Linked DNA regions of Callithrix jacchus. The protein of the gene in region 6 purifies or fractionates together with the protein of the main gene of each other region. This does not show direct contact. Links are inferred from orthologs where the notes say so. Each region holds a gene or a part of one and is shown on either strand. Other genes may lie near its edges.

The links.
Region 1: the proteins of CSNK1A1 (region 6) and FAM83H purify together in Homo sapiens (affinity purification with mass spectrometry; 9 studies listed by BioGRID and IntAct, counting the BioPlex papers as one, with this or other methods). This does not show direct contact. The link is inferred for Callithrix jacchus from reciprocal best matches to the Homo sapiens genes CSNK1A1 and FAM83H.
Region 2: the proteins of CSNK1A1 (region 6) and RASAL2 purify together in Homo sapiens (affinity purification with mass spectrometry; 4 studies listed by BioGRID and IntAct, counting the BioPlex papers as one, with this or other methods). This does not show direct contact. The link is inferred for Callithrix jacchus from reciprocal best matches to the Homo sapiens genes CSNK1A1 and RASAL2.
Region 3: the proteins of CSNK1A1 (region 6) and FAM83B purify together in Homo sapiens (affinity purification with mass spectrometry; 5 studies listed by BioGRID and IntAct, with this or other methods). This does not show direct contact. The link is inferred for Callithrix jacchus from reciprocal best matches to the Homo sapiens genes CSNK1A1 and FAM83B.
Region 4: the proteins of CSNK1A1 (region 6) and DBR1 purify together in Homo sapiens (affinity purification with mass spectrometry; 3 studies listed by BioGRID and IntAct, with this or other methods). This does not show direct contact. The link is inferred for Callithrix jacchus from reciprocal best matches to the Homo sapiens genes CSNK1A1 and DBR1.
Region 5: the proteins of CSNK1A1 (region 6) and SEC16A purify together in Homo sapiens (affinity purification with mass spectrometry; 5 studies listed by BioGRID and IntAct, with this or other methods). This does not show direct contact. The link is inferred for Callithrix jacchus from reciprocal best matches to the Homo sapiens genes CSNK1A1 and SEC16A.
Region 7: the proteins of CSNK1A1 (region 6) and UNC45A purify together in Homo sapiens (affinity purification with mass spectrometry; 4 studies listed by BioGRID and IntAct, with this or other methods). This does not show direct contact. The link is inferred for Callithrix jacchus from reciprocal best matches to the Homo sapiens genes CSNK1A1 and UNC45A.

Annotation. Positions count from the first base shown.
Region 1 is NC_133517.1:53,882,094-53,886,080, forward strand, and holds the start of FAM83H (protein FAM83H), read left to right. Parts: upstream 1-1,187; 5' UTR 1,188-1,280; intron 1,281-3,577; 5' UTR 3,578-3,639; intron 3,640-3,833; exon of another isoform or gene 3,834-3,968; intron 3,969-3,987. UniProt on the Homo sapiens protein: May play a major role in the structural organization and calcification of developing enamel. May play a role in keratin cytoskeleton disassembly by recruiting CSNK1A1 to keratin filaments. Thereby, it may regulate epithelial cell migration.
Region 2 is NC_133519.1:24,788,158-24,791,657, forward strand, and holds part of RASAL2 (ras GTPase-activating protein nGAP), read right to left. Parts: intron 3,067-3,500; coding exon 2,865-3,066; intron 829-2,864; coding exon 629-828; intron 1-628. UniProt on the Homo sapiens protein: Inhibitory regulator of the Ras-cyclic AMP pathway.
Region 3 is NC_133505.1:63,231,472-63,234,971, reverse strand, and holds part of FAM83B (protein FAM83B), read right to left. Parts: coding exon 2,781-3,500; 3' UTR 1-2,780. UniProt on the Homo sapiens protein: Probable proto-oncogene that functions in the epidermal growth factor receptor/EGFR signaling pathway. Activates both the EGFR itself and downstream RAS/MAPK and PI3K/AKT/TOR signaling cascades.
Region 4 is NC_133518.1:46,156,841-46,160,998, reverse strand, and holds the start of DBR1 (lariat debranching enzyme), read right to left. Parts: upstream 2,801-4,158; 5' UTR 2,689-2,800; coding exon 2,492-2,688; intron 1,929-2,491; coding exon 1,804-1,928; intron 1-1,803. UniProt on the Homo sapiens protein: Cleaves the 2'-5' phosphodiester linkage at the branch point of excised lariat intron RNA and converts them into linear molecules that can be subsequently degraded, thereby facilitating ribonucleotide turnover.
Region 5 is NC_133502.1:184,951,685-184,955,785, forward strand, and holds the start of SEC16A (protein transport protein Sec16A), read right to left. Parts: upstream 2,801-4,101; 5' UTR 2,786-2,800; coding exon 2,732-2,785; exon of another isoform or gene 2,685-2,731; intron 1-2,684. UniProt on the Homo sapiens protein: Acts as a molecular scaffold that plays a key role in the organization of the endoplasmic reticulum exit sites (ERES), also known as transitional endoplasmic reticulum (tER).
Region 6 is NC_133503.1:48,201,020-48,204,519, forward strand, and holds part of CSNK1A1 (casein kinase I), read right to left. Parts: intron 1,483-3,500; coding exon 1,343-1,482; intron 1-1,342.
Region 7 is NC_133507.1:19,500,919-19,504,854, reverse strand, and holds the start of UNC45A (protein unc-45 homolog A), read left to right. Parts: upstream 1-1,136; 5' UTR 1,137-1,176; coding exon 1,177-1,227; intron 1,228-1,393; coding exon 1,394-1,561; intron 1,562-1,836; coding exon 1,837-1,873; intron 1,874-2,162; coding exon 2,163-2,338; intron 2,339-3,936.

The DNA.
Region 1 (3,987 bases), on a different chromosome or scaffold from region 6:
GAGGGGCCCTAAGCGAGGGCCTGAGGGGAACCTGGGGGGACTGGAGCACCAGGGGCAGCTTGGGGTGATGTGTGGGGGTTGCTGTGTACATGGCGGGGGAGGGGCACCTGGCATGTGGGGCTTGATGTGCACGCTGGGTCCCTTGTCTGTGTGGGACTTGGTTTTTGTAGGGTCCCCGTGTGTACACCCAGGGTTCCATATGTGTGAGAGAGGTCCCCTGTGCTCTCAGAGTCAGTGTGAATATGGCATCCCCTGTTTGCCTGATCCCCTGGGTCAGTGTCTGAGGGATCCCAATTGCAGGTGGGGTTCTCCACGTGCGCAGACGTCAGCGTGTTCCTGGGTGACTGGTGTGCAAGACTGAGTGTGCTTGTGGGTTCTGCCTTCCTGAGGATTCTTCTGTGCTTGTGCGGTTGGTGTACATGAGGAACGGGTCATTCCAGGCCCGCGTGTGCATGGGGGGTCGGTGTACATGAAGGATGAGGGACAGGTCATTTGGGGTTCGTCTGTGCAGGGGGTCAGTGTGTGCAGTGTCCCCTACACGGGTGGGCGTCGGTGTACGGGGATGAGGAAGAACAATAGGGCACCCCAGGTGCTGTGGGCATCAGTGTGTGTGGGGGAGCCGGGGCCTGGGGGTCCTCTGTGTGGGTGGGGTCGTCCCCTCTACGTCTGGGCGCCAGTGCGGAAGGAGACCGGTGTGTGGTGAAGGGATCCCCTGCGCTCTCGGGGCTCCCAGACCCGGCCCCACCCGGCGCTCGGCGCCGCCGCAGCGTACTCACCTGCCTTACCTGCCTCCCCAACTTGGCCAGGAGGCCAGAGCTCCGCCCCTGGCGTCGGGCTGGCTCGTTTCCTAGCTACCGAGCCGGAACTTCCGCGTCACCCCGACTTCCGGGGCGAGGGTCAGGGGTCAGCCTAGGACTTTGAGCCTGGGGTCAACAGCTGGGCTCCCCGGGGCCGGGGTCTTTGAAGTGAGGGCCTCACGGCCTCCGGCGGCGCTGGGCCGGGGTCCCCGCAGGGTGCGGGCGGGTCGGGGCGGACGGTCGGGGCGCGGGCCGGGGCGCAGGAATGCGGGCGCGCCGCGGGTGGGGCCGCCCCGCCCCCAGGTGCTGCCCGGGCAGGCAGGAGGCAGGAGCGCCGGGCGGGGCGGGGGCGGGCGCGTGAATCAGGCCGGGCCGGCGGGCGGGCCGCGCAGGGAGTGGCTGCCGGACCGACCGGACCGCGAGGCCGCTGGGCGGCGGTCGGCTCCTGCTGCCCCTGTGCCGAGACCCCGCGCACCTGGCCAGGTAGGGCCCCCTCCCCCGGCCCGGAGGGGCGGGGCGAGGTGGGGGCGGGCGCCCCTCGGTGCGGTCCCACCTGGGCCGCCCTCGCGCCAGCACCTGGGCCGGGGCCGCGCGATCCAGAGAGGGGCGTTGGAGCTGGGGCGCGGCCGCGTGCGCGGGGCGGCGGGGGGCGGCTCGGACAGGGGGCGCCGCTGCGCGGATTTGGACGCGAGCGCCCTCGCACGACGCCGGCCCGCGAAGAGCCGATAGGAAGGGGCCCGGGGCCGGGTCCAGCCTGCCCGGCCGCCTGGTCCCGCCCTCGCGGCCTAGTTGGAGTCTGGGTGCTGGGCACGGGCTGGACCCGTCCCTGGGGACGGCCGCCGTGGAGTGGGGTAGCCAGAGTGCGGCCTGGATCCCCGCGTGGAGAGCAGGACGAGCGACGGGAGTGCTGCCTCTCGTGCCCACGTTCCTGGGGTGGGGTGGGCGGATGGGGCCCCCAGCCGCCGCAGTTGCGAACGCGTAGGGTGCGCTGACCACGTTGGGCGCTGGGGTGCCCACCCCGCAAACTATCACTGAGCGACTTCCGGTCTGTGAGCTCCGTCCTCCCCACCCCACCTTTCCGCCTCCTAGAGCCTCCACGCCCTCCTGTGCCCGTTGGAACGGCACAGGCTCACCCCACTTGGTGTAGGAACTCTGGATCCTTCCATGGGGTCCTCCTTCCAGATACCCCACTTACGGCCAGGGTGGAGAGGATGGGGTCCTTAAAGTCCAGCTGAGAGCCCTGACCTCAAGTCACAGATCGGGGTCAGCAGAAGAGTGGATTCGTGCTGAGTCATTGGCCATGGGTGGGTTCCGTGCCCTCCCTCCCTTGGGCAGGCGTTGCTACACAAATGTGTAGGCATGCAGGCCACTGGAGTGCTCCATCTCAGGCTCGGGAGTGGCTGCGGCCCCGTCCATAGCTGGGGAGACACGGACCCATGAAAGGGGACAACACGGGGAATGAAGTCGTTGGAGGAAGCCATTGGCATCACTCTGTGTGGACGCTGGTGTCTGCTGGAGGGCTTTTGGCCACAGGGGCTTCCACAGTCCTGACAGTCCCTGCCCACATTACACACAGCCTGGACACTGTTGACTCCCCTACCCTGTGAAATCCAAAGGGACAGTGGGGGTCCTTTCTAGAGTGCTGCCCCCCCAGCAGCAGGAAGTGCCCCTCAAGATCAGCAGGGCTGTTCCCTCAAGCCCTGTGTGATCAGACACTGCCTCTACAGCCAGGCTGGCAGTGGTGAGTGGGCGCCCCCACCCAGCCAGACAGGCCTGCCCCTCACCCCCATGTGGTCGGCCTTGATCTGCTCCTGGCACAATCAAGACAGTGTGCCCTAACCAGCCCCACATGTCAACCATGAGGACAGTGCCTCAACAAAGAAATGTTGGGACAGCTTCTCCCAGGCCGGTTGGCATCTGGGGCTGGATAACTGAGTGGCACCAGGTATTTCCCACGTGTCAACTCCATGTCACCCCCAGGTGCGCCAGGCAGGACGGCTGCCGCCTGACCTTAACATTCTCAGCCAAGTGGCTCCTGCTAGCACCCATGCAGTCCAGCTGGCCAGCGCCCATCCTGTCAACGCCCCAGGGCACGCTCCTCTGTCTGGGCTGAACTGCCTCCCCAGCCAGGGCCAACATTCAGGAACCTGTGTGCTAGGTGGGGATAGGTGTGCTGCCTCCCTCAGCAACCTGAGGAGCACTGGGATGGGCTGAGTGCTCCCTAGGGCTCTCCTTCCAGGGAGAGGTACCCAGGTAGCTCCATGACCATGTGCACATGGGCCCTGGGCACCCTATAGAGGTCCCCATCAGACACCTTTCTGGAGAGGCCAGGCCCCCTGCAGGGACCCTTTGGAGAACAGGGTGGGCTGTGGGGCAGGCAAGCGTGGATGGTGGTGGGGAGCCCAAGACCTGGAAAGGTCCCTGCTGCTTTGGACTGGGGTTGGTGGGGACAGGACTCTGAGCAAGTAAAGAGCGAGATCTGGGGGCTGTGGAGTGCAGGCCCTGAAGGACCTGTGGGCACCAATGGGCTGTGGCCCAGGGAGGTTTCATCTAAGAGGGACAGTGACAAGAGAGAGGTCAAGGGTGGGCCAAGGGAAGGAGAGGGGCTGGTAGACAGGGACAGGGTCTAGGGGTCAGTTCCAGGGCTGGGTGGTCAGAGGATGGGCTGTGGGAACCCAACTGTGAAACTGAGGATGGGGAGGAGGTGTGGCTGAGGTCCACTAACGAGGACCTCCGCGTTCCTGGAGGAGGGTGGTCACAGCCCTGTTTGCTCATCTTAGGTGAAGCATGGCGTCATGTGGACCCTCAGCTGTGTTGTGCAGAAGATGTACAGGCCAGAGAGGTGCAGTGACTTACTCGGGGTCTCCCAGGCAGTCAGAGAGACACAGGCAGCATGGGCAGACCAACTTGTTCAGTAGGCACAGTGCCAGGGGCTCATGAACATCTTAAGAAAAAAAGCGAATATTGTAATGATGAACGTAGCCCAGATTACGTTTGTCTTTAAACCAAGAATCATGAAAGTTTTAGAGGGTTTGGTTTTATTTTTTGTAGCGATGCAGTCTCACTGTGGCCCAGGCAGAGTGCATTGGCACAATCATAGCTCACGGCAGCCTGCAACGCCTGGACTCAAACGACCCTTCTGCCTCAGCTTCCAAGTGGCCGAGACTACAGGCACGTGCCACCATGCCTG
Region 2 (3,500 bases), on a different chromosome or scaffold from region 6:
AGGGAATTATTACAATTCTCAGAATAAAATCCAGCATTTTTACTTTTTCTCCGAGGGTAGAGAGTAACATTGTAGATACCAACCCACCACTGTCTTCAGGATTCCAGTAATTTCCTAGTTAAATTTGAAACCTTCCTCAAATATTCCAATTCATACTTGTCTAAACCTTCAAGAGGAGAAGTTCTGATTGCACAACTGAAAGGTCCCTGCTAAAGGCACAAGTCTTACCAATCCAGAAAACATTCTAAGCATACATTGTGTCTACCTGTCCGGCTCACATAGTCAGCTACAAAATAGTTTTAACTGAGTTCTTCAAGATTTTGAATGCTAAAATGTATAGAAACATCAATTTCATAAAACCTTTAGTTTTCCGTTAAGCAAGATAGAAATTTAAAAAATATACTGTGGAATATATTGTAACTCTCCATACTATCACTCTAGAAAAGAAGTTATCCCAGATCTTGTGCATTATTATAACAAATAATTGGACTGCTTGCTCTCAGGTCAGATGAGTCTTCAATTACTCATGATTTTAAACTTGTAAATTCAACACATAGGTTAAATATACTTCTGTTAAATCTAAACATTATCTTTCTCTGAGATACTAGTCAAATCCTCTCTTTCATACCTGTCAGTGGGGTCTTCAAATATTTTCTGCAGCCCGGAGGAGAGGCTTCCACTGACATTGGGACTGGAGTTATGCTCAGTGAAGCGTCTCAGTTGCTGTTGTATTGGTGTTGGATTAGTCAATGACTTGGTAATATCAGCAAGAACACGAGGGAGAGGCCCCAGTTTTGCCACGGTCGCCTGTAGGAAGGAATTTTCACCCTAATTGGATAATAAGCATTGCGACATCCACCACAGATTGTTTTTGGCATAACGATGGCCATTGATGGAGGGGTGTAGGTTGGAGGGAAGGGTAGGTGTTTGCATATGGGAGTGGCAGGTTCATAATGCATTGTTATGGAGCAGCAGAACCATGGCGTCGAGATGAATGGAGGCGAAACAAGGTACAGCAGACATTGAGGAAAGAAAGGAAATCGAAATCAGGATTATGCAAATAAAAATTAAAAGACATGCTCAAAACTAGCAAACTAATGCCATTCCAACTAAAATAGGCATGCAAAGCAAACTAAATCTTTGGGAGTCTAGTAAATCAAGGTGGGGGAGGGTAAGGGAAGAACCAAACTCCTTCTAACCAAAAGAACTTCAAGACCACAGGATCAGCTAGTATGATAAAACTTTCAAAGAAAAGGGATCATGTGAGAAAAGAAATGCATGCCAACATACAAGGTGCTGCATTCAGGAATCCAGAGTACTGCAGGGCACACAAATGATACTGCCATCCACTATCATAGTCAATCTTGGAAACCCTGACCCACTGCCAACTGAGTTTCCATCAGTTAAGACAATTTTTGGTGTAATTTAACAGCAAAATCAGGTCAACTTTCTCTATGAGATATGTCTAGATATATTCCTGGTTCCCAGGAACAAACCAGGATTAAAAAGGAGAAAGTGTTTTCACAGCAAAGCCTGTTAAAAAGATCTTGATACTGAATAAACCAGGCCTATTTCACATGATAACTGAATCTGCATCCCACTGAGATGCAGTTATTCAACAAAGACTAACTCTTTATCCATCTCAATTATTTTTTTCTTTAGGGAATTCTTATTCTCATGGGGCCTTACGGGTCCCTTCAACTGTTAGTTTGACATAGTTGCCTTTGGGTCTTTGTCTTCTCAACAATCAACAGACTCTTCTACCCTACTCAAACAGGCACAGATGCCATCTGAAGAATACCTTTACTTGCTCAACAATGTTGGGCTATGATTCACATGAAAAGGATTTACCTTTGGCATAGCTGCAACTTAAAAATCTAGCTAGCATTTCTAAAAGTGAAGAAAAGGTCCTCAAGAATAAGTAACAGTTTATTGTTTTACAAATGTTTTAAGCACTGGAGGACACACTACCATTTATGTTTCCTCAGCAAAGTAGTCTTTGTTAATAGGTTTTATTTCCCTCCAAATTTTACTGGTATAGCATTTTTATCAACAGGAAAGTGGAGGAAAACAAATAAATCCTTATCACAGAAAAATAACTGTCTTTTGAAGTTACTGTAACATAACACCATACATATTTATAAAGTGCCTGTAGCAAACAAAAACATCAATAAATAATTATTGTAATCAGCCTAGCCAAACTCCATTAGACTATTTTTTTACTACCAAATTTATTCCTTTTTGTAAAATTCCAGAAGGAAGACAATGATTGGCATGATGTACATTTACTTATTAGTATGGTATATAATAAAATTCTTAGCAAACAAATGATTAAAAATAATTGTTTTCTGTATTCTTAATTCACATCTGTAAAGGAAGAAAACAGTAACTTTTAGCACTAAGAATTACATGAAACTCTCTGACTTGTAGAGTAAAAAAATTTGTTTCATGGGTAAAGTAACTTAAACATGATAAACCTAGTATTTTCTTAGCTAAGTCTACACTTTTGTTAGAAATTACCATATGAAGTTTCATCTCATCCTATTAGACATGCATAAGGCTGTATATAACAATATATTAGTTTCTAGTCAAGTTTTCAGATATGCACTCTGTATATATAAATTTAGAGAAACATACCCCATTAATTCAGATATTATTAAAAAAATATATTAATAATGTCATGGTTTTCTAGAATTTCATGGATGTAGATCCCATATTTTACTCAGAAGTGATGAACATTTCCTCTCAGATTTCCAAGGTAAAAGGTTGCTTTCAATTAGAAAGAGTGAGTGCTATTGCTCTATAGGTACTCTTCCAGAATTCAGGTACATGCAAGTTCTCTATCTTCCATGAACCTACTTTACCTTATCAAGTTGGGAAACTACTTCCCACAGTAAGGAATGCAAAACTGAAAGCTCTCGGCCCAGATCAATGTAACCATCAAAGCCTGGGGTGTTTGAGATGGTGTCTGGATTAGAGATCTCCAGAAGAAAGCGCTTCATTCCACCCCATTCATGTTCTAAAAAATCATTCATGAATGCCATGTATTCCTCTTTGTTACCAAACCTGAAGTAGAGGATGAGAAAATGAGAAAGAACATATTCAAGAAGAGAGATATGATCATTTTGAGTTGACTTTACACAGAACTATGACATTTTTTATTTTGTGGAGGGAATGACTAATTTTATTATCTGTAAGTGATAAATGCTATAACATACTTTCTTAATATCACTTTAATATTCCAATGCTTTGAATAGCTTTCTATTCTCCAAAGGGTAAAGCCAAAACTTTTTTTTTCTTCTGGTATTTAAATTTCTATGTATGGCCCTCACTTATCTACCAAATGCTCACCAGTACAAACCTTCAATACTGCTAGCTTCTTCAAAGTCTCCCAAATATATTATACATTTTTTTCTTCTCCAAGCTTTTGCCCATGCTATTTACTTGCACTAGAGAAAAACTTCTCTCCTTTGCCTATCTAGATTCTAGCTATCTTCAGG
Region 3 (3,500 bases), on a different chromosome or scaffold from region 6:
CATCGTACATGTCACACCTATAGTCAATGTAAAAGGACAATTCTACTTTGCATCCCTTAGCCACAGGCACACTAAGAAATCAACAGATATTCACAGAACACAGAAATATTTGTGGAATGACAGTTGAACAGGTGGATCTTGAGTAAAGCTGAATTCAGCCAGAATTAAATTTTTGGCATTATTTATCTAGATGACACTAGACATCTTGAGTAAAAAAGGTATTTGCTTCCACAAGTGTAGACTGACAACATATACCCATACCTCAACACCATGTCAGAATTATGGTTATTCCCAAACTTTTAACAGAGGTAAAGCGGCGTATTCGGGATACAAGTCACTTACACTATTCTCTAGCTGTCTGCCAAGAACTACTTTGAAATTTTACCCATTTGCCTTGTGTTTCTGCTTACAAACCAATGTACAGAACTATGTAGAGAGTAAAACTACCAAACTTTAATATCAAAGTACGTCAAAGTGACATTATCAGTCCCCTAATGTTAATATGGGGAGAAAGCATGTGGCTTAAGACAGAAAGTATATGGCTTAAAACTATTTCATCCACAAACTGTGATGGTGTCTGTTTAAAACTTAAACAGTAGCTATAAATTTTTTGAAGTATTATATTTTTGCTTAGTCTTATCCCTGGAAAGTTTCTTGGCCACAGAGCCTTTGGTAAGTTATGTACATATTCTGAAATATAGGTATTTTTGAAAAAAAAAAACAAGAAAAACAATTTTTTTAAAAGGCAGAGAAAAATAAATCTGCTATGCAAAAGCCTAAGTTACCTGTCATGGGTTGATGAAATAAAGCATTCTGTACTCTTCAAATACACTTATGAGGAAGAGCTCAGGAACTATTTAGAAGGATGTTTCCATAAGCTATCTATATTTCCTGAAATTAAGAAAATTTCTGCACAAAAAGGCAACAGGTTTTTGGTTGTAATCAAACATGATTACACTTCTAGTCTTTATATAATTTCAGTTTTAAAGTTACATTGCACTAAATTTCAGAGCCTTCCATTTCAGAACTGACTAATGGCTCATTATCCTAAATCCCCATCCAATATTAACAGAGAATGGGTAATAACAAAGTCAGTCTAGTTTGGTTAACTGTGGGTTCTGGGCTCTGTTAGGCTTTCTTTTCCTGTCATATTTTCTTCTCTTTTTTTTCATGGTTTCCAAACACTATGGAAAATTACTTTAATTACATAGATATTTTAATGCCATTATTTTAATTATTTCAATGAGACATATTAAAATTTGTATCAATCTTGCATTTTTAAAACAACAGTATACTGCTTCACACAGCAACTTAGAATATATTAAGTAATATATTTAAAGTGATGTAAAAACACTTCACACTTCTCACAGGATATATTGCTTCTTGAATTCTGTTCTTTGCGAATGAAGCAAAGTCAAGTTAAAGTCTCTGGAACAGATATGGAGCTTACACTTCGTTACGGTAAGAAAAAGGGTATCTTATAATCTGAAATCATCCTTAAATCATGGCAGAACTAGGCTAGTACAACTTCTCATTTTCCCAATTATATTCTTATGAAAACACTATGCAGTCATATTGTAAGTGGCACAACTTAAAGAAGAGCAAGACATGTGATCCCAGCACTCTGGGAGGCTGAGGCGGGCAGATCATGAAGGTGAGAGTTTGAGACCATCTGACCAACATGGTGAAACCCCGTCTCTACTAAAAATACAAAATTAGCTGGGTGTGGTGACACCACGCCTGCCTGTAATGCCAGTTACTCAGAAAGCTGAGGCAGGAGAATTGATTGAACCCAAGAGGCAGAGGTTGCAGTGAGCTGAGATCATGCTAGTGCACTCCAGCCTGGGCAATACAGTGAGATTCCATTTCAAAAAAAAAAAAAAAATCAAGAATTTTCAAAAGCAAGACCCCTTAGCATTGTCACGGCAATCTAAAAAATTAAAGGCAGAATTTTACATTTCTAAAAGCTTTTATAGAATAAAGAAAGGAGGGGTAATCATTCAGGTTTTCTAAATTCCTACTGATTTGTTATCAGTAGGTATATGGATTTAACCCATAATGTGAAGTAAGGAATGACTATAAAAAAATCAGCAGCCTAAGGATGGCAGGAGTACAGCTCCCTGCATCCAGAGAAGAAAGAAGCACATCCCAGACAGTTTCAAAGGCTTAGGAAAATAAATTTCTATGAATGTCATTACACTACATGAGGATGATATTTTGCAAACACTTCAGGCAAAATTTGAAAAAAAAAGTTCAAATGGAACTGCTGTTGCCCAAATATCTGTACAATGTTCCACAGAAAAATTAATACTAACAAACTATAACAAGTTATCCTAGAGAATTTAAAGTTAATTTTAAAAAAGCCTTAGTCCCATTTGCTTATATTTTTGAAGATATGAAAACACTATAAAGACATGTTATAAAGGATTACTGAGGGTAGTATGACCTTTTTAAAAGGAAATGGTTAAAATCCATATACCATACATCATCCACAAAAGTCTCTAAGTGAGACTTAAGATCTTCAGTCTAAAGAAAATGATTTAAATATATCTGATATTTTTACCATTACCACTTACAAATTATGTGTTTACAGAGATATTCTATCTACAGCAGACCATAACTTTATCACACAGAAAAATAACTTTATATGGTACACTGGTGAACATATACATCATACCCATCATTCTGTTCTTAGGGAAATCTATTGGCATGTTACAAAGACTGTCCACAATTTTCTTTGGACAAATATTTATAGCCTCATTCATTTTGCATTTTAATAGCTATTTATTTTTGTGTATAAAGTTTCCAAACTTTTGCATAAATCCTCGAAACTTGTTCTCATTCGGTTGATATGAGTGATAAACGCCAGTGTTGTAATTAAGCATTGGACTAGACCTGCCATAACTGTTGCCCATAGTCGCAGATTTCATTTCTGGGCGATGTATACTAGTATTTGGCATGTTGCTTGCTGGTTGAATAGAGCTCTCAATCTTACAAAATGGCTCAAAACGACTGTAAACACGCCGGTCAGTTGAATGAGTTCGTAGAAGTTCATTGGGTGTTGGCCTTGGAGAAGAAGTTGGTCTTCTCTCATGAGTAACAACAGCATTAATCTCTCTTGAATCTCGGTATTGGATCTGTTCAGTGTTAAATCTTGGGGCAGAGGCATGTCCTGCCCTTTCCAAGAACTTGCTTTCAACTGGGCCTGGAGAAGGTGTTCTTTTATTTTCATCTGATGGAGCATTTATCCCTTGAGATGGGCTAACTGTGACATCTTCCTTACTTTTGTGGATGCTGCCTTGAGAGTTGGATGAGGAAGAATGCTTTCTTCTAGGAGATGAATCAACTTTTGTATCTGATTTCTTTGGTTTTTGATTTTCTTCACCCTCAGAAACTAACGTGTCAGAGCTACTACACAATCTATAAAAGGCAGGCGCTTTATTTTTGGATAGATTTTCTTTCTTATCTGGGGTGAGGCTAAGTAATGACCTTAACTTCTG
Region 4 (4,158 bases), on a different chromosome or scaffold from region 6:
TTTTTATATAATAATATGCCAGCAGTATATTAGTGATATAACAAAATATAAAGGAGATGTCTGGAATTAGATTAGCCAAAAGACTAAGCAGATTCTGGAAGGGACAAATGAGATAGTGTGCTGAACGTGAAACAGACATAACTTTGTACCTAACTGAATACAAGAGTGAGGTAGTGAGAGGAGGGAAATGTCCCATGATGGATTTATATGTTATAAACCTGAAAATCAACAGGCATAAGGTATAAAGAAGCTGCAGCTTCGTCTTTAAAAAAAGAAAAAAATTAAAAAAAAAAAAAAAGAAAAAAGAAGGCCAGGCGCGGTGGCTCACGCCTATAATCCCAGCACTTTGGGAGGCCGAGGCAGGTGGATCACGAGGTCAAGAGATCAAGACCATCCTGGTCAACAAGGTGAAACCCCGTCTCTACTAAAGATACAAAAATTAGCTGGGCATGGTGGTATGCGCGTGTAATCCCAGCTACTCGGGAGGCTGAGGCAGGAGCATTGCTTGAACTCAGAAGGCGGAGGTTGCAGTGAGCCAAGATCGTGCCATTGCACTCCAGTCTGGGTAACAACAGCGAAACTCCGTCTCAAAAAAATAAAAATAAAAAAGAAGCTGCAGCTTTCTAATATCATTTCTGAATGATCACATTCTGACAATTTCACTTTTTCACATTATAATATAGGATGAATACATTAAAAGATGATCAATAAGTAGTAAAGTAGGGAAACTAAATTTCTGAAATTACGATCTCGTCAAAATCTATAAACAGTTCTAGAAAGAATATATATTTAAATAAAGGGATGGGGCTGGGTGCGGTGGCTCATGCCTGTAATCCCACCACTTTGGAGGCCCAGATGGTCTGATCACTTTGAGCTTATGAGTTCAAGACCATGGACAACATGGTCAAACTCCATCTCCACAAAAAAAGTACAAAAAACAAAAAAATTGGCTGGGCATGGTGGTACACGTCTGTAGCCATAGCTACTTGGGAGGCTGTGGTGGGAGGATGGCTTGAGCCTGGAAGGCAGAGGTTGCAATGAGCTGAGATCATACCACTGCACTCCAACCTGGGCAGCAGAACCAGACCTTGTCTCAAAAAATAAAAAATAAAGAGATGAAAAGGCCATATAGTTTATAGGGGCTAATATTGAGACAATCTAATCAAATCTGTCAATCTAAAAGCAGATTATAGGAAATCCAAAGGATAAAAGGTTTTTGGTTTTTGGTTTTTGTTTTTTTGAGACAGAGTCTCACTCTGTCATCAGGATGGAGTGCAATGGCATGATCTCGGCTCACTGCAACCTCTGCCTCCCGGATTCAAGCAATTCTCCTGCCTCAGCTTCCAGAGGAGCTAGGACTACAGGCCCTACACACCACCATGCCCAGCTAATTTTCTGTATTTTTAGTAGAGATGGGGTTTCACCACGTTGGCCAGGATGGTCTCCAACTCCTGACCTCGTGATCAGCCCGCCCTGGCCTCCCAAAGTACTGGGATTACACGGTTGAGCCACCTCGCCGAGCTGGTCTTCTTTTTAATTCAATAAAAACTGTGATAAAAAAAGAAGCGACTACAAATAGTGCGCGAGGTCTTTGCAATTATATTAGCTAGTGGTTAAAACACTAGATGAAGGGTGTGGTTTCATGCTCACCTATTTAATAATTAAATAGTTTACATTTTCAGGATTAACTATTTAAATTAATGATATTCTCCAAACACCATACATCTCAAGAAACAACCCAACTAACGCAAATCCTGATAGGCTCTTCCATCCCAGGAAAAAAAATTATCCACAAACACATACCTAAATAATAAATGTTTGGTGCTACCCATCCACCATAGGGTAACTCTTGTAAATGATTTGAGGCTTCATGGTTTCCCCCAATGAAAAGTGTGAGAACTGGGGCCTTCTTCTCTCCAGAATAATACCTAGAACGTAAGAGCAAAATCAGTTACCACAAGTAGGCATAGCAGAAAAGCAAATAATTTCCGAAAAACAAAACCAAAAACTGACGTCATCATAAAAAGTTAAAAAGCTCTTTCAAAAGGAAGTGCCCAGTACCCATCCTTGCCCTTAGGAATGAAGAGCTTCCACCTTGGGCTTCAGGTCAGTGTACTTTCAATTAAGTCAAGAACTGTATTGAGTTCATTGCCATAACCTCATCTTTTAGAACCGCAACAAGCACTTAGCAGGCGCCCAGTAAAAACTCCTGGATCATTAAATGAATTCCAGAGTCCTATCAAGTACAAGGTAGCTTCTAAACCTGTCAGCTCCTTCCTCCAGGTTGTTCCCTCCCAGGCTTCAATCCCCTGTGAAATGGATAAGATGGTTGTATGGAAAGAAGGAAAGTGACATTTCCTAAGCGCCAGGTCCTAGAAACACAGAGCGAACAAAGACAGGATCTAAGGGAAACAGGCAGCCAGTGATAAGAGGGAAATCGAACACAGTCCCACCCCGCATAGCCTAGTCCCGGCCCGGGCCGCGTCCTCACCTGTAGAAGGTTTGCATGTGGCGGTACTTGGGCGGCACTGCCATGCAGCGTAGATCCGCCTCGTTGCGCACCGCCTGGAAGTCGCCGCAGCACAGCAAGAGGTCGACAGGCCCCGGACCGCGCTGCTCCGCCAGCGCCAGCGTCTCATAGATCTTATCCAGCTCACCGTGGCAGCAGCCGGCCACAGCCACCCGCATTCTGCCGGCCAGAGGAGGGGAGCGCTGCCTTCAAGCTCTACACCACAGCCAGCCCAGGCCCGACTGACCGCTCAGCTCCCGCCAACTTTAATAAGTAGAGCTGCCAACTGTCGTAGACTCCTGCAAAATAACTCACTTCCGGTTTCCAGATCTCGCGCGAGAGAGACCGGGAAAGGTAAACCTAACTCCAGGATCCCAGGGAAGTTTTTTTCTTTTTACCTTTTTAAAAAATATATATTATTGTTTTATGCAGTCAACAGTTATTTGTATATACATTCACAAACGTACTCTTTTCAGTCTTGCTCTTTTCTTCCTGGATTTCCATGTTTCTCTTTGGGATCATTTTTCTTTAGTCTGAAGAACTCACTTCAGTTTTCCTGTTTGTTTACTGTAGGGCAAGCACAGGTGAATTTTTTTCTAGATATTTGTTTGTTTAAAAATGTCTTTCCACTCTTGGGAAAATGGTGATGCCAAGCGCGGTAGAGCACGTCTGTAATCTCAGCTACTCTGGAGGCTGAGCCAGGAGAAAGAGAGATTTTGTTTCACCTTAATTTATAAAGGATGTGTTTACTGAGTACTGAATACCAGTTCAGCAGTTTGGGGTTTTTGTTGTTGTTGTTTCTTTGTTTTTACAAAGCATTTCAAAAATAGCGTTCTATTGTCTTCTGGCTTGCATTATCTTCTACTGAGAAGTCACCTGTAAATTTCATTGAAAGTAATGTGTCTTTTTCTTTGCTGTTTACTGTTTTATCTTTCTCTTCCTTCTCTCTGTACTCCTTAAAGCTATTTTAATATAATATGGCTGAGTGTTGTGGGGTTTTTTGTGTGTGTGTTTTTAAACCTATCCCATTTAGGCTTTTCTAAATCTATAGCTTGGTATCTTTTCAGTTTTGGAAAATTCTTGGCTAGTATCTCCTTAGATATTGCTTTATTTTTTTCTGTCTCTTCCTACTCCTTTGGAATTTTTTCCCTGATATTTTTTCTGTCTTTTAATTCTGTTCCATAGTTCTCATTCTTATCCACGTTGTATTTTGGATAGTTTCTAATAACCTCTCTTTACTAATTCTATTTTGTTCTATGTCCAATGTACAAACTCATTTATTAATGCTTTAACATCGTCCTTTTCAATTTTAGGATTTATATTGTATTCTTTTCCAGTGAAGCTAATAGTTTAAAGAACTTCTTTATCTTTTAATTTATTTCCTTCATCTTTTCCTCTCTTGCATATATTAATCATAGTTATTTTAGGTTGCCTATCTTCTAAGCCCAGTATCTTACTTATCTGTAGAGCTGATTCTATTGTCTGTTTTTGTTTCAATGGATTCTTAGTTTAAAAATCTCGATTCTTGACTAGGCGCAGTGACTCATGCCTATAGTCCCAGCATTTTGGGAGGCCAAGGCAGGTGGATCGCTTGCAGCCAGGAGTTCGAGACCAGCCTGGCTAACATGGAGAAACACTGTCTCTACTAA
Region 5 (4,101 bases), on a different chromosome or scaffold from region 6:
GAGTCGACGTCTGACTTATTGATTCCCAGTGTTGGGATCCGAGCAACCCACTGTGGCAGCCTAAATAGCAGCGGTAAGACTGATGGTGCTCTTCTGCCCGGGAATCTCTGGTCTGGCTTCCCTCTTGAGTCCGCAACAAGCGGCTCTGACTTCCCGGAGCTCCAAACTCCAGTCAGTAGGGGAAGCAGTCCCGTTGGCTCTGCATGAAGAGCTGCGGCACCGAGACGCCGGCAAAACCGCTGCGGCGGCCACAAGAGTCGCGCTGGCGACCCGTGGGGCTCCTCCACTGGGAATCAGCTGATCAGTGAGTGACGAAAATTTGTCTAAAAGTGTGGCGTCGTCTCATTCTCTGGGCTTTCACTGGGAGCTACAATCCTGAGCTGTTAGTGGTCGGCCATCTTGGATCGATCCTCGGACCTCAAGCTTTATTCCTCGGCTGCTGCTATGACAGCAGAACTGGGCATTCGAGTGAGTGGCTCGAAGCAGCCATGACTCTTTCGGCAATGTGTTTTTATTACCAAATGAGAGAATCAATGTGATTATTTTTTTCCTAAAACCATGGGTTTAACCTTATGAGATTCTACTCATGGTAGATTCGGGATGTCCTAATCCCACCTGCTGTTTAACAGGGGAATCTTATCAGAATCTAAATTTCACTGGTTTATACTTAAATGTTTTCCTTGTAGACATTTTCTTAAAATTATTCTGCAGCTCTCCTCCTAGACTAAGAACTTTCTTTTTTTCTGAGATGGAGTCTTGCTCTGTTGCCAGGCTGGAGTGCAGTGGCATGATCTCGGCTCACTGCAACCTCTGCCTCCTGGGTTCAAGCGATTCTCCTGCCTCAGCCTCCTGGGTAGCTGGGGCTACAGGCGTGTGCCACCATGCTCGGCTAGTTTTTTGAATAGTAGTAGAGACAGGGTTTCACCCAGAATGGTCTCCATCTCCTGACCTTGTGATCCACTTGCCTCACCCTCCCGACATGCTGGGATTACAGGTGTGAGACAGTGCGCCCAGCCCAACTAAGAACCTTTTAAATAGCAAACACTATCACTTACCTACAAAGGAGCATTCTAACCCTCATGCTCCCTAAATGAGAGCTTTTTAGCAACTCGCCAATTTCATTTGGAACAGTCTTGTGACCTGAACTGATTTTTATCTTTTTCTCTACTCACCAGGAGAAAGCAATGCCACTGCCTATCACCTATGTCACCACTACAAGGGAGCTAGCTTATTTAAGTCATCTAAGTCTTTCACTGTTTCAAAGAGGCCACCTGACCTTGAAGATGCAGTATTCATAAACCTAGCTAGTCAGTTAAATTGCCTTGTAACCATATGCACACCTAAGCAAAACTCTTTTCAGTAGAGTTCTGGCTACAGAACTGAGGTAAACACGCGCACACCCTTCTTCACTGTCACTGGCCTCACATTTTAGGTAAAGAAAACAAAGGTGTTCCAGGAAGCCTCTGAGCTTACATGCTGCCCAGTCTCCCTCACGGTGGCAGCTAGTGACTCCCTGTCAGACAATGGGATGCTTAACACAAAGACATGATAAACTCCAACTCTTCTAAGTTAGAATCGCAACCACATAAAGTTGGGTGTTGAAGACGAAGCCAGCGGCAGAGGCAGCCAGCAGCCTAGTACTGCTGAAAATGACCAAGACCCAAAAGGACACCCCGGTATTCATCAAGGATATTTACAGAAGAGGAAATCATATTGACATTTACCCACTACCATGGCCTCTCAGGTTTGGCAGAAAAAAGAAAGAAAGAAAGAAAATGTACCCACTGCCTCAAAGAAAACTTTCAGTACAATTCTGAGACTCACTGTAGTAACCACTATTAACAGTAAACGAGGAACAGGGAACAAGAAAGAAACGTTACTTTGCCTCTTTTCTGCCAGATACCAGCACCGGAACCCTAAGAAAGGAGACGGGGAAAAATGCAGGGAGGCTGCCTTGTGCTGAAACTTGCAAAAGTATCACTCGGGAAGAACTGTCTGCGGTTCTGTTTGCTTCGTACTGCCACATGGGGGATGGGAAATACCTCTTTGGTTAACATCGGCATCATACACGTAAAACGCAATCTTAATATACAATCCACACCCAACCTACAAGCCACTTAAAAGTGTTCTTAAGTGAAGCAGCAAAAACTGACTTTAAATCGCTCCGATGTTTCTGAAGCCTCTACTGTAACACTTCCATGACAAAGGGGCGAGACGGATCACACACACTCCTCTAACCCTCGGCCTCTGTTGCAACACCCGGATCGCCCTATCAAGAAATTACAAATAAACAACTCTGCTCCTTGGTTCAAATGTAAATCTCTCTTCACCAGCACCGCTAAGGAAACCTTCCAGCCGGTGAGGACAAGACACGTTCATTTGAAAAGCTGGGGTTTTACGAGGGGTGCCTGGGGTAAGCCTCCCGCCGGGGGTACAGGCGTCACCGCGGCCCAGCCGGGTCCACGTGAGTCCCTTCAGTCCCACGGCGCGCCTTGCCGCGCCCGGCCTCCCGCTCCAGCCTGCGGACCCCGGCGTCAGTCTCCTCGCCCGGCTCCGACGGGACCCGAGCTGCGCCGCCCGCTAGGGGCTGGGCCTCGCCGCCTCCCCTCCGCCGCGCCCCGGCCTCCACTGCCTGGCTCCTCTGGCCGGCCTCCGCCTTCCTCGTCCCGCGCTCGCCCCCTCACCCGCGCGGCAGAGATCGGCTGCTCAGGAGCCGCGCGTGAAAGCCCACCCGGCGCTGATGACGAGCGCAGACACGGAAACTGCCGCAGCCATCTTGGCACATCCGGCTCCGGTCTCCGCGGCCGCCGCGCCGCCGACGTGTCCGTCTTGCGACATCAGCGCGCGCCCCGCCCCTGTCCCCGCCCCTCGGCTCGGCGGCCCAGTTGCATTCTCATTCATCCCTTTACGGCCCAGGCCTCGTCCCCGGCCCTCGCCGGCGTCCGTCCCCTTCAGCCTCATCTCTGTCCCGCCGCCCTTATCCCCGCCCTCGCCGGCGTCCCTTCTTCCCCGCCTCATTCTTTCGTCCCGTCCCCCGCCCGTCTTTCCGCGCCGTCTCCTGTAGTTCCCTCCCCTTTGGCCCCGCCCCTCGGCCGTCCCTCCCGGCCCGTGGCCCCGCCCCCCGCCGGCGTCCATCCACCGCCTCACCGCTTGGCCCCGCCCCTCGCCACCTGCCCAGCCGGACGCGCCGGGGCCGCCCCGGGACGTCGCCTTGGTTACGCTGGCTCTTTCTCCCAGTCTTTTTTCGTTTTAAGATGTGAGAAGTGATGGGATTCTTCACTCAAGGCCACAAGGGGGAAATCAGTCTGCAGGACCGATGCTAGCAGGCTCACGCAGCGAGAACGGCTACTCTGCCTCACTGAGAAGCGCAGGGCCCTCACGCGGGCGCGCTCCTCTCATTCTTCCGTTGGGCCGGGAGGCTGGAGGGCAGGAGGCGGCGGCGGCGCCGGCGCATGCGCCGAGGGCGGTAGGAGCTGCGGGCCGCCGAGGGCCTACTGCGCCTGCGCGCTGGTTGCCTGGCTACGGCGCGATCGCGGGCCCTGAGCGGCGCCGGAAGTTGGTCGACGGCGACCGGCAGTGCCAGTCCAGGGTCCTGGGGTTTCCCCGACGCATCCTCTGCAGGCCGTTCGCTCCGCAGAGGCCCCAGCAGGGGAGGGCGGCCCGGCCACCGCGCGGAGCCGGGTCTTCGCCGACCCCCCAGAAGGACGCGCGGGCTCCACGTCCCCGAGCTCGGCCACGAGCCTGTGCCGCGCCGGGTCCTCCCACGCCCACCCCGGCCCCGGCCCCGGCCCCGCAGTCCTGCCGGGGAGGCGCGGTTTTCTGGCTTCGTCTCCTCGGCCTCCAGCCCCACGGGGCCCTAGGGTCCCAGCCCTGGCCTAGTGCACGTTGGTGGTGAGTGGGCGCTCGGGCGCCCACAGCGACCCAGCGGCGGGCGAGGCGTATGGGTGCTCCTGCCCCTGCGACGGCCAGGCCAGGCAGCATCCGTGCCCCCGCCCCCCGCGGAAGATCGCAGGGAACTGGTGGGCGCTGTCATCTGTGCCCTCATTTTCCGGAGGAACCCAGGGAGGCCGGGCGGGTGAGGAAGCGGCCATCCGTGTACCG
Region 6 (3,500 bases):
GTCTTATGCAAGAAGCTACTATTTAAGGTGATTTTTAAAAGTTCATGTGTTACCTCTAAACAAAACTTTTCTCATGGAATCCAAAATCAGACAAACAACTGTCTTACAATTTAATTTTATTTATTTCTTTTTTTCACTCTTCACACACACAAAAAAAACCTTAAAGATAACAATTTAATTTTAAAAGAACAAAAAGGATTTAGCTAAACAATTCTCTAGAGAAATGAGCTTAATGAATCAAGCAGGGCAACATTTCTAAATTTTGCAGAAACTCATCAAGATAACTTAGGAGGCTGGGCTCAGTGGCTCACGCCTGTAATCCCAGCACTTTGGGAGGCTGAGGCGGGTAGATCACCAGAGGTCAGAAATTCAAAACCAGCCTGACCAACATGGAGAAACCCCATCTCTACTAAAAAAAAATATGAAACTAGCCGGGCATGGTAGCAAATGTCTGTAATCCCAGCTACTCGGGAGACTGAGGCAGGAGAATCGCTTGAACCTGGGAGGTGGAGGCTGTGGTGAGCCAAGGTCTCGCCATACCCCTCAACCCTGGGCAACAAGAGCAAAACTCCATCTCAAAAAAAAAAAAAAAAAAGTGCTGAAAAGGAGTTTACAACTTAAAACTAATGGAATATCTGAACATCTATATCAATGTATTCACACATACATATCTATACATACAAATATACAGATAGATAGGTTTAAGGATAGGTAATTCTTTGGCATATAGGACAAATGACATTACAGTTTAACCTAGGATATTCAGATATTCATGGGTATCTTAAGCTTGAAATCATTTGTATGAGGTTCTTAAACCTGGACGCATACCATTGTTTTTTCCAATTACTTCTATGTTTGTTTTAATGAATGAAAAGTGAGTAGAAAAGATGAACTTGAAACTCTAGAACTCATATGAAGAAACAGAAAGAGAGCAGAGACTGAAATTTTCTTACTTTAAACTAGATCCTATTAATTGACATATTTGAGTGAAGTATAACAGGAGATTAACATTAACCCCCTTTTGGTTTGTTAGGACACTAATAACATATTTTCAGCTGCAAAAAGAAATTTCAACATTGCACTTAGGCTTCTAACTTTCAATCAAGCAGTATTTTCCCCTCAAGAAACAACCTGCAACAACAACAACAAAAAACTAAAATACCTCATTTAACTGGCTTCTCAACGCTGGCTAAAGCAGCAGGTAAAATGATTAATAAGCATCCTTCAAATCCTCAGCCAAGAAACATTCTTAGACATTGTAAGGAACTAATTAAAATATTTCAAGAACCCCTTGACGGCTTCTGCTATGGCTATGATAAGCACATTCCATTTTCTAACTTACCTTTGCTCAATACCAAGATGTGCATTGATGCTAGCATATCGGGCAGTGCCAGTGAGGTTTTTATCTTCTCTGTATGGTATGTGTTGCCTTGTCCTGTTGTCTCTGTACTTTTTGGCCAAACCAAAATCAATAAGGAATAACTTTAAAAGAGAAATACAGAAACATTAGGTTTCCAACCTTGTTCAATTAAACTGCTTCTTATTCATTAAATGGAATCTATACTATGCATTCAAATATATCAAAATAAAGTATCCCAAGTATTACTAGAACAGATAATGAACAGACTTAACACCTCCCATAAGCTTTTACTAGTCTTCATCATTAAATCAAATTTTTAAAAAGTCTAGTAGTTTATTCTCGTCGTTTGCAAATCTCACAGGCCCATTTCATTACATACACAGGAGCCTGTCTTTATAAAGTAAGTAGAGAAATGTATACAAGACTGACAGCAGAAGTGACAAGTGTGCTACTTGTCATAATGACACCTGATAGTCTGTTACTATCGGTAAACAAACATCAGGTTTCAAAATCTAGATATAAGGGCCAAGAGCGATAGCTCATGCCTATAATCCCAGCACTTTGGAAGGCTGAGGCGGGAGGATCACTTGAGGTCAGGAGTTCAAGACCATCCTGGCCAACATGGCAAAATCCCATCTCTACTAAAATTACAGAAATAGCCAGGGGTGGTGGCAGGCACCTGTAGTCCTAATTACTCAGGAGGCTGAGGTAGGAGAATTGCTTGAACCCAGGAAGCAGAGGTTACAGTAAGCCAAGACTGCACCATTGCACTCCAGCCTGGGAGACAGAGCAAAAACTCCATCTCAAAACAAAATAAAACAAAAAAAACAGATATATGCTATCTCAACTCCTCCCTCCTACAAAGGCCAACAGAATGCTTGTTATCTACCCTAAAAGTCTAATACTGGCAGCGAAACAAAGCCTTTTTATTAATAAAAAATACTACTTAGCACTGACACAATACACGTGTTAGGCTAAACTTCTGGAAAATTTAACAAGCTGATATAAAAATCCCCCCAAAAAGCACTTAACATTTAAATCAGGGTGGCTTACAATTAGTAGTTTAAGTGAGCTAACTAAAAACAAAACTAGTGTTTAAAACAAAATAACGTTTAGTGTTATCTTGTCTATATGGTACTCGAGGAATAAGTTATTCATTTGGTTTTTTTTTCTTTTTTGCAGCAGAGAAACCTGAATAAAGGGTATTCATTTATAATGTAGCTAATTGTTCTATATAATTCAACTTTACACTCTAGAATTTAAGCCTTTTATAAGTAAATAACTATTTTTATGAGAGGGAAAAAAAACCCTCCAAAACATATTCATTTTACCTATCATATGAAGAGAAATAATCTTTCCTTAAGATTTTGGCCTTGGTCATAAAATCACCTATTATGCTATATTTTAATAATAGTTAATCTACAATTATTATTAAGCTGGGCAGGTCTATGTTCCCTTAAACTATATAGACCTAGTCTATTGTTCTCTAGTTATTCCTGCATTTTGTAGTTCTTCTCTCCATTAGGCTATTGGGTCCCTTTTGCCAGTTTATAATTTGTGATGTGCAGGGAAACACAATCACCTAACCTGCAGATTTCATGTCAATAAATAAATAAATAAATAAAGCAAGTTACTGATTTAGGTTATAAAGATCTGACCAAGTACCTCTCTTAGGAGCATGAGTAACATCTATTTCAGCCAAGCATTATAACCTATTCTCAATTATACTCTGAACAATAAGACACTGACATTTGAGCTTCAGTCACCATGTCGACGAGATACTTATTTTTACTTAGTTCACTATAAAAGAATGAAGACTAAATTATTAGTAAATGTTACTAGATGATGAAAACTCTCCAAGTAATAAGATTAAACTCCCTTCCTAAGCAATCAAATAATTATAGGAAAATTAGTGTTGTAAAACACTAAGAAATAAAGTTCATACTTTAAAAGTTTCTCTTGATATGAAAACCAGCTCAATACACAAATATTAAAATGAGCAAAATACATTTATTAAGCAAAACAAAAATGATGATTAAGTTCTGCAGATTCATAGTGAAAACAAAACATGGGGAAAATAAACACAAAAGGACATTCAGCTTCATGGTATTTTAAAAATATCTCTGAGGAATATGTAGAC
Region 7 (3,936 bases), on a different chromosome or scaffold from region 6:
TCTCTTTCAGGTACAGCACTTCCTCCTGTGACCCACTTTCCTCTTGTGCTATGGACGACTCCTGGGGACTGGAACTGAAGGTGATGGGTAGAAGGGTGTCTGATCTTCTGGTAAGGGCTGATGTCTTTTACCGTCCAGAAGGCATGGAGTGGGCTGTGGCAAGACCCCTCCTGCTTGTTTCCAGCCCCCCACCTTTCTCTTCAGCTCTGTCCACCATCCACAATTGTGCCAGACCACCTGGGATGCCGACGGCCACCACTACCCCGGTTTCCCTTGCCCTCTTCTCTGATTCTCCAGAGGAAGCCTACTGCTGCCACCTGAAGGCTGAATTTGAGGTCCTGTACCAAGTCAACTTGTCCGTTCTTCCGCCCCCACCCATCCATCCTTAGGTGAGATCTCCAGCCCCGGAGCCCCTGGAACATCGACAAGGTGTCTCAGTATCTGGGGTTCTGTTCTTAAACTATGGGGTGGGAGGCTTGTAAATTAGAGTTGTGAAGGGACAGACCGCAGCAGAAAATCATGTAGATCATGATCACGATTACAAAGGCGGCTGTAATCGTAATCACGATCAGGGGGCTGTGCAAGCGGGTAATGGGGAGCCATCCTGAATCTACCCATGGGTGGCTTCAGTGTGTGTCTCTAAATTCGTACGCAAATGTGTGCATGTCAGACTACGCTTATTTGGGGAGGGGGTTCCGAGCGTTCTCCGGACTCCCAGGGGTTCTCTACCCCCACAGAACGCAGCAGCGAGAGCGCGGCCAGGGCTGGGATCCTGAGACTTTTCTCTCTCCCGCAGGGGCCGGGGCCCGCTCCTAGCGCTAGGCGTCTACACTCTGCTGCTTGTGACCCTGATGGCCGCAGACCTCGTGCACTTCTGCTGTGGTCGGGGCCGGGGTCGGGGCTAGAACCACTGCAGGCCTCCCTTTGGGTCCTCTGCCGAGAGCTCCCTGCAGGTCTCCGCTGGGACAGCTTAGGGGTGCGCGGAGTTTGCTGGCACCTGTCATCCGGGGCGGAGCGTTCCGCCCCTGCCCGGGCGCGCCCACCCCTTAGCCCCTCCTCTCACTGACCCCGCCTCCGACGCAAGAGTGGGCGGGGCAGCTTCCGGCCGAGTCCCGAGCCCAGACCCGACCCGCCCCAGAGACTGCGCCTGCGCGGGCACTGGACTACCTCTCCGCGATGACTGTGAGTGGTCCAGAGACCCCCGAGCCCTGGCCGGCTACCCCCAGAGTGCGTACCCAACCCCCGCGCCATCACCCCTTCGCAACCGCGCTGACTGTCCCGGCCTCCTCCTCCCCATCCACGAGGCGCCCCTGAATCCCTCCTCTCCTCTCCTCTTAGCTCTTGGGCCCTGCCCCGAGCCCCCTCCGACGTGGCCGCCCCTTTCTCCCTACAGGCCAACTCAGTGGCAGTGGAGCAGCTGCGGAAAGAGGGCAACGAGCTGTTCAAATGTGGAGACTACGAGGGCGCCCTGGCGGCCTACACTCAGGCCCTGGGTCTGGACGCGACGCCCCAGGACCAGGCCATTCTGCACCGGAACCGGGCCGCCTGCCACCTCAAGCTGGTGAGGGAGCCGGGTGCCCTTCCCCTCCAACTTCCCCACCCTCCCGGGACCCGGTTTGGGCATCTGAGCTGTTGCTTGGGCCCCAGCTGGACATTCACGCTTCCAGGCCACCCCGCTTGCTAGATGTGGAATGCACCTCAGGGTCGTGGGGGATTGGGTGACCTTGGAGAATGAGAGTACCCCACTGCCCGGTTAGTACCCCCTAGAGGGAGGTGACCATTCATTCGGCTCCTATCTCCCCCCCTCCCCACTCGGCTTCTGTCTTTCTCTTACAGGAAGATTACGACAAAGCAGAAACAGAGGCGTCCAAAGGTAGGGAATGGTGGGCCCTCGAGTAGCACTATAGGGCTTCTGGAGGTTGAGGATTGTGGGACCATCACATTCCCCTCCTTTTGCCCCGGAGACACATCTGCCTTCTTTCTTTCCCACTGCCTCGGGCTTTGCCTTTTCTGCAGCTACCCTTACTTTTTCTGAGGCTGAAGCACCGAGCCCCATATTCGTCCCCCACCTTCCTCTGGCTTTTCCTCGAGATCTGTCCCTACTGCTCTTGCCTGACGACGGTGGCCTCATGGGTGCTGACAGCGCTCCTGTTTGTGCTCAGCCATTGAAAAGGATGGTGGGGATGTCAAGGCACTCTACCGGCGGAGCCAAGCCCTAGAGAAGCTGGGCCGCCTAGACCAGGCTGTCCTTGACCTGAAGAGATGTGTGAGCTTGGAACCCAAGAACAAAGTTTTCCAGGAGGCCTTGCGGAACATCGGGGGCCAGATTCAAGAGAAGGTATGTGAGTGACCCAGACAGGTGGAAGCACTGATCAGTGGTGAAGGGATCTGGGCCAGGGGTATAGACAGTTCTCCAGAGAAGAGATACTGATGGCAGGTGAACATAGAGAGTTCTGCTCAACCTTGCCTGTGGCCAGGGAAAAGCAAATTCAGATGACAGCACATTACTGCTGATTTGGTGGTCTGTTTGGCAGATATTTAAAAGAAGGGACACTTTTTTTTTTTTTTTGAGGCGGAGTTTCGCTCTTGTTACCCAGGCTGGAGTGCAATGGTGCGATCTCAGCTCACCGCAACCTCCGCCTCCTGGGTTCAGGCAATTCTTCTGCCTCAGCCTCCCAAGTAGCTGGGATTACAGGCACACACCACCATGCCCAGCTAATTTTTGTATTTTTAGTAGAGACGGGGTTTCACCTTGTTGACCAGGAAGGTCTCGATCTCTTGACCTCGTGATCCACCCGCCTCGGCCTCCCAAAGTGCTGGGATTATAGGCATGAGCCACCGCGCCTGGCCTGAAAGGACACTTTTTGAGGGGAGAGGCAGACATGTCAACGGTGAGGCCGGGGGCCAAGGGCTCTCTGATGACTGCTGGAGGGGTATAAATTGGTACAGCTCTTTTGGAGAGTACTTTAGCATATCTATTACATTTGAAACGAGTGTATCTTGTGATCCCATATGTTTACTTCTTGCTGTTTCGTTTTTTAAATTTATTTTTATTTTTTTTAAAGACAATGTTGGTCAGGCTGGTCTTGAACTCCTGACCTCAGGTGATCCGCCCGCCTTGGCCTCTGAAGTGCTTGGATTACAGGCGTAAGCCACCACACCTGGCCTACTTCTTGCTGTTTCTCTCAGAGAAACCTTGCCCATGGGTACAAGGAGACATGTGTATGTTTATTTCAGCCCTTTTTGTAGTAAGAAAAGCTTGGAACTTGCCTGAATGCCCAGCCATAGGGAAATGGCTGAATACACTGAGTAATTGAATTGAATTCAATTCAATTGAAGTGGAAAGCTCTGGGACACTTGTTGAATGAACAACACAAAATAGGCAGGGCATGGTGGCTCATGCATATAATCCCAGTGCTTTGGGAGGCCAAGGTGTGATGATCACTTGAGATCAGTAGTTTGAGACCAGCCTGGGCAACATAGTGAGACCCTGTTGTTATAAAAACTTTAGTTAGCTGGGTGTGACATACCCTTATAGTCCCAGCTACTTGTGAGGCTGAGGCAGGAGAATCCCTTGAGCCCTGGATTTTGCAGGTCAGTGAGCTATGATGGTACCACTGCACTCCAGCCTGGCTGAAAGAGTGAGGCGCTGTGTCTTTCCGAGAAGAAAAGAAGAAAAATATATAATAGCACACATAGTATAATATCATTTATGTTAATGATCCCTTACGTAGCAAAACAATGCTATATTTTTTCTGTGGGGACACTGGGTGTGTAAATAAAAAACAATATTTTATTTTTTTAGATTTATTTGTATTTAAGTATTTTGAGGCAGGCTCTCCCTCTGTCACCCAGACTGGAGTGCAACCTCCTCCTCCCAGGCTCAAGTGATCCTCCTATCTCAGCCTTCCAAGTAGCTAGGACAAATGCATGTCA